2 linked regions of the Drosophila melanogaster genome follow. The protein of the gene in region 1 purifies or fractionates together with the protein of each later gene. This does not show direct contact. Each region holds a gene or a part of one and is shown on either strand. Other genes may lie near its edges. The genes, in order: dgo and Vang.

Region 1 (6,196 bases):
ACATGACCTGCGAGCTCACCCATGCAGTTTTCATCGATCGCAATGGTGGTCAGCACCCCTTTGATCACTTTATGGTGCGGAATCGAATGATACGGCAGATCCACATACCTTCGTACTTGGATGCCGAGCAGGAACTTCGAAGCGCAATGGAACGGGGAGTCCTGCGAAGAAAGCGAGTGGAAACCAAGGGCGGAAAGCGGACATTCAAGCAAAAACGAGCGGAAGTGCGACACAAGGAAACATTGCAAATGATCTCACAGCAAAAAAAGAATAAGGAAACCTAAACTATTAATATATGCGTACTTGTTATATTTACCAAAAATACATTACATACATACAACTACATTTATAGTAATAAACCTATGAAAAGCAAAACAAATTAGCCCAATCAATTATACACAAAACATAGTCTCTAGCACGTTTATTTATTCCAAGAAATTCAAACGTATACAAACTGAATATCTTATATTCCCTTAATCAAAACTCTACTTAGCGGCCTGCTGCTTCAACTGCTCCTGGTACATGTAGTGCAGCTCCATGCAGTCGGTGTTGGAGATGTTTACCCAGCCGTCCTCCTTAATGTGATACACGCGAATGATACCACCGGAGTAGGCATCCCTGAAGGTGGCATGGTAGATGGCGCGACGTCCCAGCTCCTGGGCCTCCTTGTCCTCCAGGTCCCAATGATAGCCAGAGTCCAGGACACCGTAGGCGTACAGCGATCCACTACCAACAGAGAACAAATTGCCAGGCGTGCGAGATCCCTCGGAGTCCACATAGTAGAGGCCTGGACCACGCTTATCGTAACCGGCCAGCATCATGCCCATGCTCAGACCCATTCCCTTGTATTCGTGGGCAATGTTGGCCATTATCTTGCTGGCGGCGGCCACCGAGATGCGTTCCTTGTTTCGAAGCTCGTGAAGGCGGCATTCCTTCGAAAGGACCCTGTCCCAGTAAACGCAATCGGCTGCGCCACCGGCCAAGGTGCCCAGCATGAACTGATTGATCTCCACGATCTTCTTCATCGACTGGGAGCCAATGTACGATCCACCCGTGGCACGGGAATCGACTGCCAGGAGAACGCCGCCCTTGAACTTGAAGCCCAACGTTGTGGTGCCGTGATCGAAGTTGATTTTGACGCCGGTCTTGTCGCCATTGGCCTGGATCTGATTAAGGTTGTGCAGGGGCTGAGGAAATTGTCAAATTTTTTAGTAAATTTCCCAAGAAGATCAGCTAATTAACTACATACGTTCTCGAATGGCGGAGCAGCCAGTGTGTAGGGATTGGCCAGATTGCACATAAGCCCTTTTTGCTCTTCCTCCACATCCGCCGATGACCAGGCATTGGGCCGCATGTACGGAGCATTCGATATCTTGCAGATTTCAGCTAAAGCCATTCTTAAAGCTCCTTAAAAAACAATTGGAAACGTTGAATGCGAAATGCCGATGACAAACAAAATTCGTTGCCTACTTGTAGAGTGACCGTACTTCTGTTGGAGCAATAATGCAGACTATCGGCTTCACCGTTAGCTGTCGCAGGTACGGCAACCCAGCTCGAAACCTGTTGCCAATTTTGCCTGTGATTGGCTTTCTTTTAGTCTCTTTTTAGGCCTGGCTTGAAGCCAAATTAACTCTGGGCGTTCCATCAATCCATCAATGGCCAAATACTGCAAAGTCGGGTACTGAACAATAGTCGAAAGTAAACATGTGTAAATACGTGAGAGTGGCGAATTGCAATGCGTAAATTGCGGTCCAAAGACGGGATTTAAAATTAGTGAAAAGTAAGTCGGGAATCGAGAAAACCTAGGCGCACTTTAAACCTGGTTTTCAGGTCTAGAAATTTACTGTAATAGTGTTGAACATTTAAGAAACCATACATGTTTTATCAATGTGTTATAATGAAAGACATTTAATCTACCCTCAAAAAGGTTGTATTTCAAATTACGAGTCCTTTATTTGATCGCTTTTGGTAACTCCCACTTCTATTTGTAATGACAATTACTACGTGGTACGCCATTACGTGAGGCACACATACATGCGCATACACGGCTAGAAAATGTGCGATCGAAGATCAGATTCATTTGATCCCAGGTCAAGTTAAGCTCTTTCGTCGTCAACAAGGTTATATCAAAGAATACCATCTTTCATATGATTTTCGACATATAAACGATTCTAACGGTAATTACGGTACTTTAAGTAAGATTTTTCATTTATTAAAGACAAAATGTAGTTCTAATATAAATAATTTTTTTAATTTTATCTGGTTTTGATAAAGTGTTACTTAAAAAGTTATAATTGCAACACATCATGATAAATGAATGAAATTATAATTTAACAAATTTGATAAATAATGAATATTTTCGCAGACAATGCAGCATGGATCCTCCCGCATTCCGAAACAGGAAGCTCTCCCGAATGCGATATCCGGGGTAAGTAAGGGCACTTGCCTGAACCAACAAATCTTACACCGATGTAACTTCTTTTTCTGATTTAAGCCCGACTCCAGCAATTGGACTTCGCTGCACGAGGCGGTAGCCGCCGGAGATGATCGCCGGGTGGAGGGTCTCCTGTTCAGCAATGCTGATCGACTGGCCAGGGAATCCGTGCAGGGGAATACCCCGCTCCATGAGGCCGCCAGTCGGGGGTTCAGTCGCTGCGTGAAATTGATCTGCACGCCCCCCACGCCACCCGCTTCCTCGGGGGTGGGAAAAGCAGCAAAGGGACAGAAGGACAAAGACAAGGATAAGAACAAGGGCAGAGTGAAGGTGGCCCACCAGACCATCGAAGCCCTACACAATAGCGCCCTGGGTATTGCCAACAACGAAGGGTTGTCCGCCCTGCACTTGGCCGCTCAAAATGGTCACAATCAGAGCTCTAGGGAGCTACTGCTGGCCGGCGCCGATCCCGATGTCCGGAATAATGTAAGTGTTGGATCATATCAGTGATAACCATGTTTAACATGTTTAACAATTTCAGTATGGAGATACTCCGCTGCACACCGCCTGCAGATATGGACATGCAGGAGTCTCCCGGATCCTGCTCTCCGCCCTTTGCGATCCGAATAAAACAAATCTGAACGGCGACACCGCTTTGCACATCACCTGTGCCATGGGTCGCAGGAAGCTGACAAGGATTCTCCTAGAGGCAGATGCTCGGCTGGGCATTAAAAACGCACAAGGCGACTGCCCCATGCACATAGCGATCAGGAAGAACTACCGTGAAATCATCGAGATCCTGAACACGCCGAAGAAGATACGGAATCGCAAGGAGAAACCCAAGGAGGGCGGCAGCAGATCGGACAAGGACAGAGATCGTGAAAGGGATGTGGTGGACAAGGGTATCAACTGGTCACCCTATGGCTGTCACTACTTTCCCGATCCGCGTGCCTTTCCTTCACCAAAACTGGAGACACTGCCCAAGGAGCCACTTAAGTCGGGGGAGCAATACTTCCTGGATTTGGCTGGTCATATTCACAAGGGTCCGGTCAGCGTGGGCAACACATGCTATTGCGGTCCCTTCTTCCGTCACATTGAAAACAAACTAAATTGCAATCGAAAGAGTTTGAAGAAATACGTTCACAAAACCAAGGAACGTCTAGGTCACAAAGTTCAGGCATTGGCAATCAAGACGAACGATCAGATTGAACAGCTCACAAGAACGATGATCGAGGACAGATTGCGATGCGAGAGCAAGAGGCAGCACCTCAGTGAGTTCCTGCGACGAGGTGAACCTATGCGGTCCACCTTCGATCAGCAGAACAAGAGCTCAAGGATCGAAAGAACAATGTCCAGGTGCCGCAGTCTAGAGCTCTTGGAAAACAACCACGAAGGTGGTAGGCTCACCAACTCACGGAGTGTAGATGTCCTGGAAGATCAGGCAGTGGAGGCTATAGTACACCGATCAGCGGAGGTCCAGGTGGATAGCGACAGCGATGACGATTCCAATGAAGCTCGGGATGAAGAAGAGGCAGAAGTGGGTGACAAGGACCAGGTGCAAGAAGAGGCGGAACCAGAGGAGCACTCGAAGCTAGATGAACTTAAGCTAGATTTCCTAAAAGTCTCCGAAAGACTGGGAGTGCTTTTAGAGAAAACCACCCTGATCATGGAAAGGGACAGCGAACAGGAGAGCAAGCGCCAGCTTTCTTCCTTATCGCCACCTTATAATCCCCATCCAAGGGCGGAGTCTGCCCAACTTCGAGAAGATAAAGAGAGTGTTAATAGTCCCAATTTCGACGAGTACGCCAACGTGATACGACGCTATCCGAACTCCAGTGAGACCTCAAATCCCTCCCAGAACTCCAACAGCTGGGACTGGGAGGCATCACCCACGGGCAGCAATCCCCACCCGGATTACAATAAGTACTACCAGCGCATTGGGAGAGGAGAGAACATGCTGAACTCGGTGATCAAGGCGCTTCGAAAAGATGCCTCCTTCGCGGATCTGGGCAAAGAGGAGACGGCTGTCAATGAAACTGCCGAGGGAATGGGAGGCGACAAGCTGCTCTACAAGGAGCAAGCGAGCGAGGCGGCAGGTATCTCCAATCTGATGAAACGGCAGCCTCTTTGCTTGGAAGACAACTATCCCGTCATGTCGAATTTATTTTACTCCAATCCCATCATGGAGTACGCCGAGGAAACAGAAGTGCGTCAAAATGGCAATGAAAGTATGAGTAAGGTGGAGATTCGGAACAGTGAAATCAAGTGCCTAAAGAAGCCGAACGCTGGTCAGGTGAGGGATATGGTGGCCCAACTGCAAAACACCATTGACTCCAATCGACAGGACTCCCAGACGGCACATGTGATCGCCGCAAGATCACACTCCCGCTTGAACAATAACTTCCATCACTTGGAGGGCACCTCTTCGAACCCTTCGCCCACGTATAGTATTCCCCACCGGAGTAGCGCCCAGTTTGGGCTGCCCGAGAGACACATACCCAAAGATGCTTACTTCCATGAACTGCCCCACCGTCCACCGATTCCGCAAACTCCGCAGAGAAGGCTGCACTCCGGCTACGTACCAAATGCGAGTCTCTATCGCAGTGAAGATCTTTACGTGGGAAGGATTCCACATCCAAATGCTCCACCAAGACAAGTGGACTACGTGGATGCGGTAGCCTATAGGCCTCTGCAGTCCCCCACCTTTCAGGCCATTGTGCCGCCCCATGTTAATCAAAGGCCAAGGAACTGGCCTCATCCCAATCTTCCATCCAATGAAATCGATCTGGACGAGCTGTCTGCCGTTGGCCTCTACAACAATGTCTCGAGTCTAGTTTGAGTTCGGTAATCCCACAGCTGTTCCCATTGTACATAGCTAATCCCTACATATTTATCTTAATTGTAATCAAGTTTTAAACTACAAAGAAAAGTTAACTTATTTTCAACTGATGCATCTAATCTGGAGGGTCTAAAATATATAAATATAATACAAAGATATATGTACAATAATTTTGTTGTTTTTTGTTGAGGAGTTTTGGGTCTGAGTGTTTTCATATTCTGCGTAATTTATGAGAATATCGTGTACTTAATTATTTGGTTATTCCACTTTTGACCCCAAAAATACCCAAAATATTAAAAACGTTCCAACCTGCTCGCTTGTAAATCAAACGCAACCGAATGTTTTCGATCAAAATATATTTTTCTTTAAAAATGTTTAATAATAGTATTTATGCATGTGTAAATATCAGAATGTCAAGTACATATATTTATTGATAACAGATCATTTTGGTGTTTTGATAGACATGCGGCTTATGAACTCTGTATAATTGTGTAAACGAAATCAACCAGGAAATCATCTCAATAATCGAGCTCCGATGTTTGGTGGGAATTCAAAAAAACCAAATCCCCACCGCTGACAAAAGTAAACAAGTAAATTGGGCAACATTTTGATATCGTTCACCAATATGTCTGCGGTATTGTTAGTACAATTTTAGCAAGTGCCTAATGATGATTTCTCGATGTCTTCGTAGTTAATTTAAAATTCTATAAATGACACTGCTGCTGAACGGCGCCTGCTACTTAAATTTATCGGCCACTTAATAATATCTTAATTCTGAATAGTCATATTACAAATACAAATTACAATAGCCAATAATTTAGTCACTTCGCATGTATGTATAAGTATGTCTCAATGTAGGTTTGTTCTATGTAAGTATGTATATGTATATCGCCTAATTTAAGTCTATTAATAATAGTTGTTGC
Region 2 (5,923 bases), 1.7 Mb from region 1:
GCAGGAAGGAATAATCCGAATGCACCTTTAAGCGGATACGCTAGGCGACTGGGACGAAAGATCTAACACGTAGACCTGTCTAAAATTGAAAGTTCTATACCAACAGCACTGACGACGCACAAGCCAAAAAACAACAGCAGCGCAAGCTGTTGCCTATTATTGTTTAAAGGATATCTGATATGTTAGTATTCCACTCACATTTGGCTAGTATTTATGAAATAATGTAAATAAAAGCGAACGCACCATCCACCACCAGGCACCAAATCATGGGTTTCCTCAGTTTGATATTTAAGTAGCTTATGAAATGAGACCATCGTGCTCACTCCACTTGAATTAATTGAGCTTATTACTCTTATCATAGAAATTCGAGAGGCATTCGAGTCTTTGTATCACAAAGAACTTGAAACTTGATTGATTGCGATTAAATCTACTCATACATTATACTTCAGTGCGATTTGGTAAACCTGCTGGGCTCAATAATCAATATAGGAACTGTTTGTTAATCCCGAGCTGATAAGGCAACTTTCAGACATTCAAAAGACCCCCAAGAATGAATTAATTACGTGCGCATTTCCACGATTTGCGTCACCTTCGAGATAGAACAATTCGTTTAAAGCTGTTAAAGAAGTGGGTTTGATTTATTTACGCATTTTGTTTTTTATGCTAGTTACAATTACAACAGTTACAGTTTGAGAGTAAATGTATGTATAAATGGTATGTATGCTTAGGTTGGTTTTCCAATTGCTTTAAGTAATTGCTAGATAATTGCAATATAAAAGAGCTTCGACAGAAGACATTTAGCTAGAAAACGAAAATGAAATCAAACCTCAAGCAAACGTTTCTAAGTAGTTTTGTAAATAGGTATATATCATATATGTATGTATATATAGATTGGGTTCACTGGAACGTACACATGTTCGAATACGAATTCGGGTCCTTATCACTATAATTTTGTCTCTAAAAATACACGAGTTTTTGTATATATGTGGTTGCTATGCACAGGCTAGTACATACACCTGCTAGTGGCTGTTGGCAATTTGTGTGTATAAAATGCATATTCAGGCAGTCTTCGCTTATATTATGTATTTGTCATCAGTTGCATTCGAGTTATAGTTGTTTCGTCGTTTCTCAACTTTGTGGCAGAAGAGTTAGGACCATTCGGTTTCGGCTTAAAATGTGCGTATGTAAAATCTTATTAAGTCGCGTCAAAAGTGGCCAATGCACTTTCGACGCAAGTCCGAGTCCTAGCTAAAATTCCATGGGCTTGCCTTGGCTCACTCCATTCCTTCTTAAGGCTAGCGATCGGGCTCACGCCTCACAGATATCGGGTAAAATTTTAGATATTCCGCGAAGAGTAAGCCCAACTTTACACTAAACATATTTACTAAAATAAAAATCGTGTATAAAAGAGCTGCATTTAAGAGTTGATATCTGAAGATCGCGGTTCGGCAAGCCAAACCATCATTCTTATAATTAATACTTTGGGAACTTGTAAGTCATGTTTGCTTATCAAAGGGTGTGATATGTTCGCGTCGGTTTAGGATGATACACTGGGCTTTTGAGCATTGTTTCTTGATATTCGGGTCATAAGTTCAAGTTTAGCACTGATAAGTACGTTGCCTTCTCATCTAATAATCATTTGTTACAAGATCAAAATTTAGCTGCTGAGGCCTGCCTAGACATTTTGTTCTCACAACAACTTTTCCTTTCTAAACTTCCATGTTTTTTTCTTTTTTTTTTTAAATTCAGGGTTTTGATCGATTTAAAAATGCTCCTCTTGTTCATTGATAAGTAATTTTGATTGCTTGGTTTGATTGGTTGTGGTGTTTCAGGCATATATAAAAATGAATTCAATTACCCTGATGGCAGTTCTCACAAGAACGTCATCGATTTGGCTGAAGTAAAGAAAATATGTGAATATGTGAATTAGTAGCTGGGAAAATCAGACAAACACATGCAAGTAGGACGATTGCGTCTGGTTGCTATGAGTGGGAGTGTTGATTGGAGGGGCGTTGTGGTGGTGTCATACGGATGTTTCGGAGTTCAACTTAAGAACAAATTTGTTGCTTTTGGGATCCACAACCTCCTCGGCCAGGTTGAAGTGCGGCAGCTTGTGTACGGTTACCATTAGGGAGACATCGTTCTGAATTAACTGGAACGTGCATTCGTTGCCAATTGGCCGAGAGACGATCTCGTCGCAGATCAGGGACCAAGACTGCACCCAGCGTCGCTCCTTCTCGCTCTGCATCACCGGAGACTCGGTCAAGTAGGGTTCCAAGAAGGCGCGGGGCGACAGATCATGCTTTAGGCAGTGCGCCAGATGTTTCAGTATGCTCTCAAAGGTATGCCGCGGCTGCTGACGCGTAACCCGTAAGTATTTTTGCAGCGCCCTGGCCATCGAGGGAAAAACCGCCGAGGCAGCCTCCTGCGGATCGAGCGGCAGTGCCGGAGCCGGTTCGTTATGAATGCGTTTGATGTGGGTGAAGGCCTCCTCGGCGGCGGTTATAAGACGGGCACGCCGTTTCTTCACACGACGTTCGTACTCGTGCTCTTCGTAAAAGCGCTCGTTATGCGAGGAGTCTCGGCGCCGCGCGTTGGCTGCTAGAACTGCTCGACTCTGGCTTTGCTGTTGCGAATTGCTCACCCCATCCACTTCGTAGTACTTGAAACTGTTTGATATCTTGTTTCGCTGCGATTTGGAGACCGATATTGGGATGCGCTCCAGGTAAGGGTTAAATATGGGGAAATCCACGTAGTAGTGCTGTAGCACCCACACAGCCGCCCGTTGGATGCTCAGCTGACCCAACATGTAGGAGCGCGAAACGCCGTCCGGGGAGCGAATGATCTTGATGTAGTAGCAAGGCTGCTGGTGTCGCAGCTCTAGTAACACCACGGCCACATAGTGAATAAATAGAAGAGTGTCCACAAAATTGGTGGCATAGCCTACCAGTGACTTGTAGTCCACGGCATCGCCGCCCGTCTCCACAACGATTTTGGCCCCGTTTGTGACCTGCACGATGTAGAAGAGCCAGTAAGCAAACGTGCAGATGGTGACGAGAAGGAGGACGAGAGCGCGATATAGGAATATCCGTGGCATGGTGGCCGATGTACGTCGCATGAACACTGCCCACAGGCCGATGGCCAGAAGCAGCAGCCGGGCGGCCAGCGATACCAGTTGGCCCTTGCACTGCTCACTGCAGGCCAGCAGCTGGGTGCGAACAGTTTGCGTTATTTCCGGATGATCGAAGGCCGACGGAAAGAAGCCCACATACGGCATCACCACCATTGCCACTGGCGAAAAAAACGCTCCGCATCCCAGCAGGAAGTAGAAGCTCGACTCCACGTATCGGCGGCACGCAAAGCTGAAGCCCTTGTCGCTCTCACGATGCCACATGTTGTTTATGTCCTCCATTGAGATGCTTTGCTCCGAGGTATTCCCCGTGACGGCGGTAGTATTCTCGCCCCAGTTCTCGTCCTGCGGAAGGATTTGCACCTCGATGACTTCCTGGCCATCGTGGCTGCCGTCTCCTGGTGCCCAAATAATAAATGGGTCAATTGGTTTCCTTCCACCGATAGAGCCATTAAACAAACTCACCTGTCATATTAACGCTGGTCTGGTACGGTGCCATGTCGCCACGTTGAAATCCCTTGGCCGACTTCGAGGAGTGTGTGCTGCGGTGGGAATGTCTGGAGCGGTCCCGCTCCCTGTGATAGCCGTTGTTGACACTGCCTCCTCCGCCACCACCTCCGCCGCCACCCCCTCCGCCGTTGTTGTTGTGATTCCGCGAGCGTCTGGAGCGTCCACTGTGTTCCGACTTGACGGATTCGTTTTCCATTGCAATTGGGCTAGCGCGCGAGAGCTATGCCCGATTCCGAATCTCCTGCTCGCGAAGAGACGTGCCCCAAATCACCTTGCAACCTGGCCGTGCAGCTATTTTAGTGTCTAACTGTAATTGCGGCGGCAGCAGGTTTTTCATACGCAGGTATGCAGGGCGCAGTGCATAGCCTATAGGCGATTTAGAGCTTTATCTGCGGCTAATTCTGCGGCACATTGTCACTATTCGTGTCTTGCATGGCTATTTCATACGCTATTTAACTATTTCTCGCACATTTTTCGCTTTTTATTCACTTTTTCGTGGACTTGGCTTCACCCCCGACGCAGTGTGACCACCGCAACACAATCAGCAGCACGGTCACATTGCATTTAGTGTTTTCAAACACTATCAGTTTGGCAATTCAACCGCCAAACTGATAGTTTAAATTTTAAAGTAAGTTTATTTTGTTGGACAATATCATGAATTTGCAATAATAGCGGAAAGTAATTGTCTGGCTCTCTGGTCAGTTGGGCTTAGCAGTATGGCGCGCTGCAACAACTTCATAGAACAGGTTTTGTCTACTGCACTAACCGCCTGACTGGCATATATAGTGGTCAGTGCCTCTTCGCTGGCCAAGATGCTAAATATAAACAAATTCAGTCTATCATAATACAATGTATATAAATTCCCAAGTCTTACCTATTTTGTTGCTTAGTGTGTCCCAGAGTAAGAGTTATTCGACCCATATTTGAAGTAGCCAGTCGATAGGATTGGTCATCAGAGAAATAATCAAGAAGAAACTTTAGCACGACACTTCGCAGACTTCGGGAATTGGGAAACATTCGTATGCGAGTCTGTAGATAGCACAACGCTCTTCGGGCACCCTCCTAAACAAAATCATAGTATTACTTTTGTAGAACCACAACATTCACCACTTTTAACGAACATTTATCAGGATGTAGTGAGCCGTTAAATAGGATATGTCGGCACAATACTCCTTCTTAAAGGCGTACGCATTCAGCTCCGTCAGTATCGTATGGATCAACGCATTATCTCTATGAAGTATACCTAGGGCAAGGGCTGAAAACAACGCCTGAATGGGGACCTCCTTCAACAAGACACTTTTGGTGATTATAACGTTAGAAATGTTGAATCAACAAAACAAATATTGCGCTACCAACCACTGATAGAGTAGGGTTTTGGTGTCCGCTTCGCCCTGAAAGTCGTAAATCATGGATGCCATAGCCACGAGGATGGTAGCTGCTTTGTCATCGCCATGATCAACCACGTTGCCGAGAACGGAGTTGTAAATAGAGTAGGATTCCTGCAACTGACCGGCTAGATAATATGCCTGGGCCAGGCCAATGATCGGCTTAAATGTGGCATGTGCAACCGTGTTTAGGGCGTGTGCCGCCTGCTCCGGCTGGTCTATTTTTAAGTACAGGTATCCCAGATTCGTGTAGAGCTTGTCACGATCCGCTCCAGGTTCGCACAACTTACACGCCCGAGTGAAGGCTTCGATTGCTTGGCGATACAGGTTTTTCCGGGCGTAGAGAAATCCCTGGAACGACAGCGATGCTGGTGTCGCATCCGTCTCCTCGTTTTGCACATACCTTAAATGTATTGCAAGTCTTTAGTTGGTTTTAGATAGGGCATTACTATAATACTTACCAATTGATGGCATCCAGCGCAAGCACATCAGCGTACATGTGTTCGATGGCATGCTTTATGCGCGGCTTGTCGAAAGATCCAGGAGTCGACAGCATTTCGCACACCCAATGCGCAAATCCAAGCGCCGCCTCCGGATGGTAATCGAACTGCTGGCAGTGACGAAACAGATCAAAGGCTTCCTCGCGATCGCCAATCAACTCCGCAACCATTGCTTGTCCAATCCAAGCGTTGGCGTACACGGGACTTGATTGCTGGGCTCTCGTAAAGGCCTCGTTGGCCAATCGGACTTCATTCAGTTTAATATAGAGAACTCCGAGATTGGTCCACGCTGTGTAGCACTTTTTTTCCAGCACTACAGCCTGAATAAAACAGTGCTGTGCCAATGGCAAGTTCTCATTTTCGGAGTTCATATTGATAACTCCGAGAAGATTCCAATT

The links.
Region 2: the proteins of dgo (region 1) and Vang purify together in Drosophila melanogaster (affinity purification with western blotting; 2 studies listed by BioGRID). This does not show direct contact.

The regions. Positions count from the first base shown.
Region 1 is NT_033778.4:10,815,273-10,821,468, reverse strand, and holds dgo (diego), read left to right. Parts: upstream 1-1,584; 5' UTR 1,585-2,177; intron 2,178-2,365; 5' UTR 2,366-2,368; coding exon 2,369-2,428; intron 2,429-2,494; coding exon 2,495-2,920; intron 2,921-2,975; coding exon 2,976-5,273; 3' UTR 5,274-5,432; downstream 5,433-6,196. Other genes in the region: Lsm10, read left to right, coding at 1-284; Prosbeta5 (proteasome beta5 subunit), read right to left, coding at 486-1,187, 1,250-1,396.
Region 2 is NT_033778.4:9,101,489-9,107,411, reverse strand, and holds Vang (Van gogh), read right to left. Parts: upstream 4,175-5,923; 5' UTR 3,837-4,174; coding exon 3,596-3,836; intron 3,529-3,595; coding exon 2,024-3,528; coding exon of another isoform or gene 1,943-2,023; 3' UTR 616-1,942; downstream 1-615. Other genes in the region: Pgm2a (phosphoglucomutase 2a), read left to right, coding at 1-14; CG8777 (uncharacterized protein), read right to left, coding at 4,293-4,455, 4,515-4,702, 4,762-4,936, 4,997-5,428, 5,487-5,923.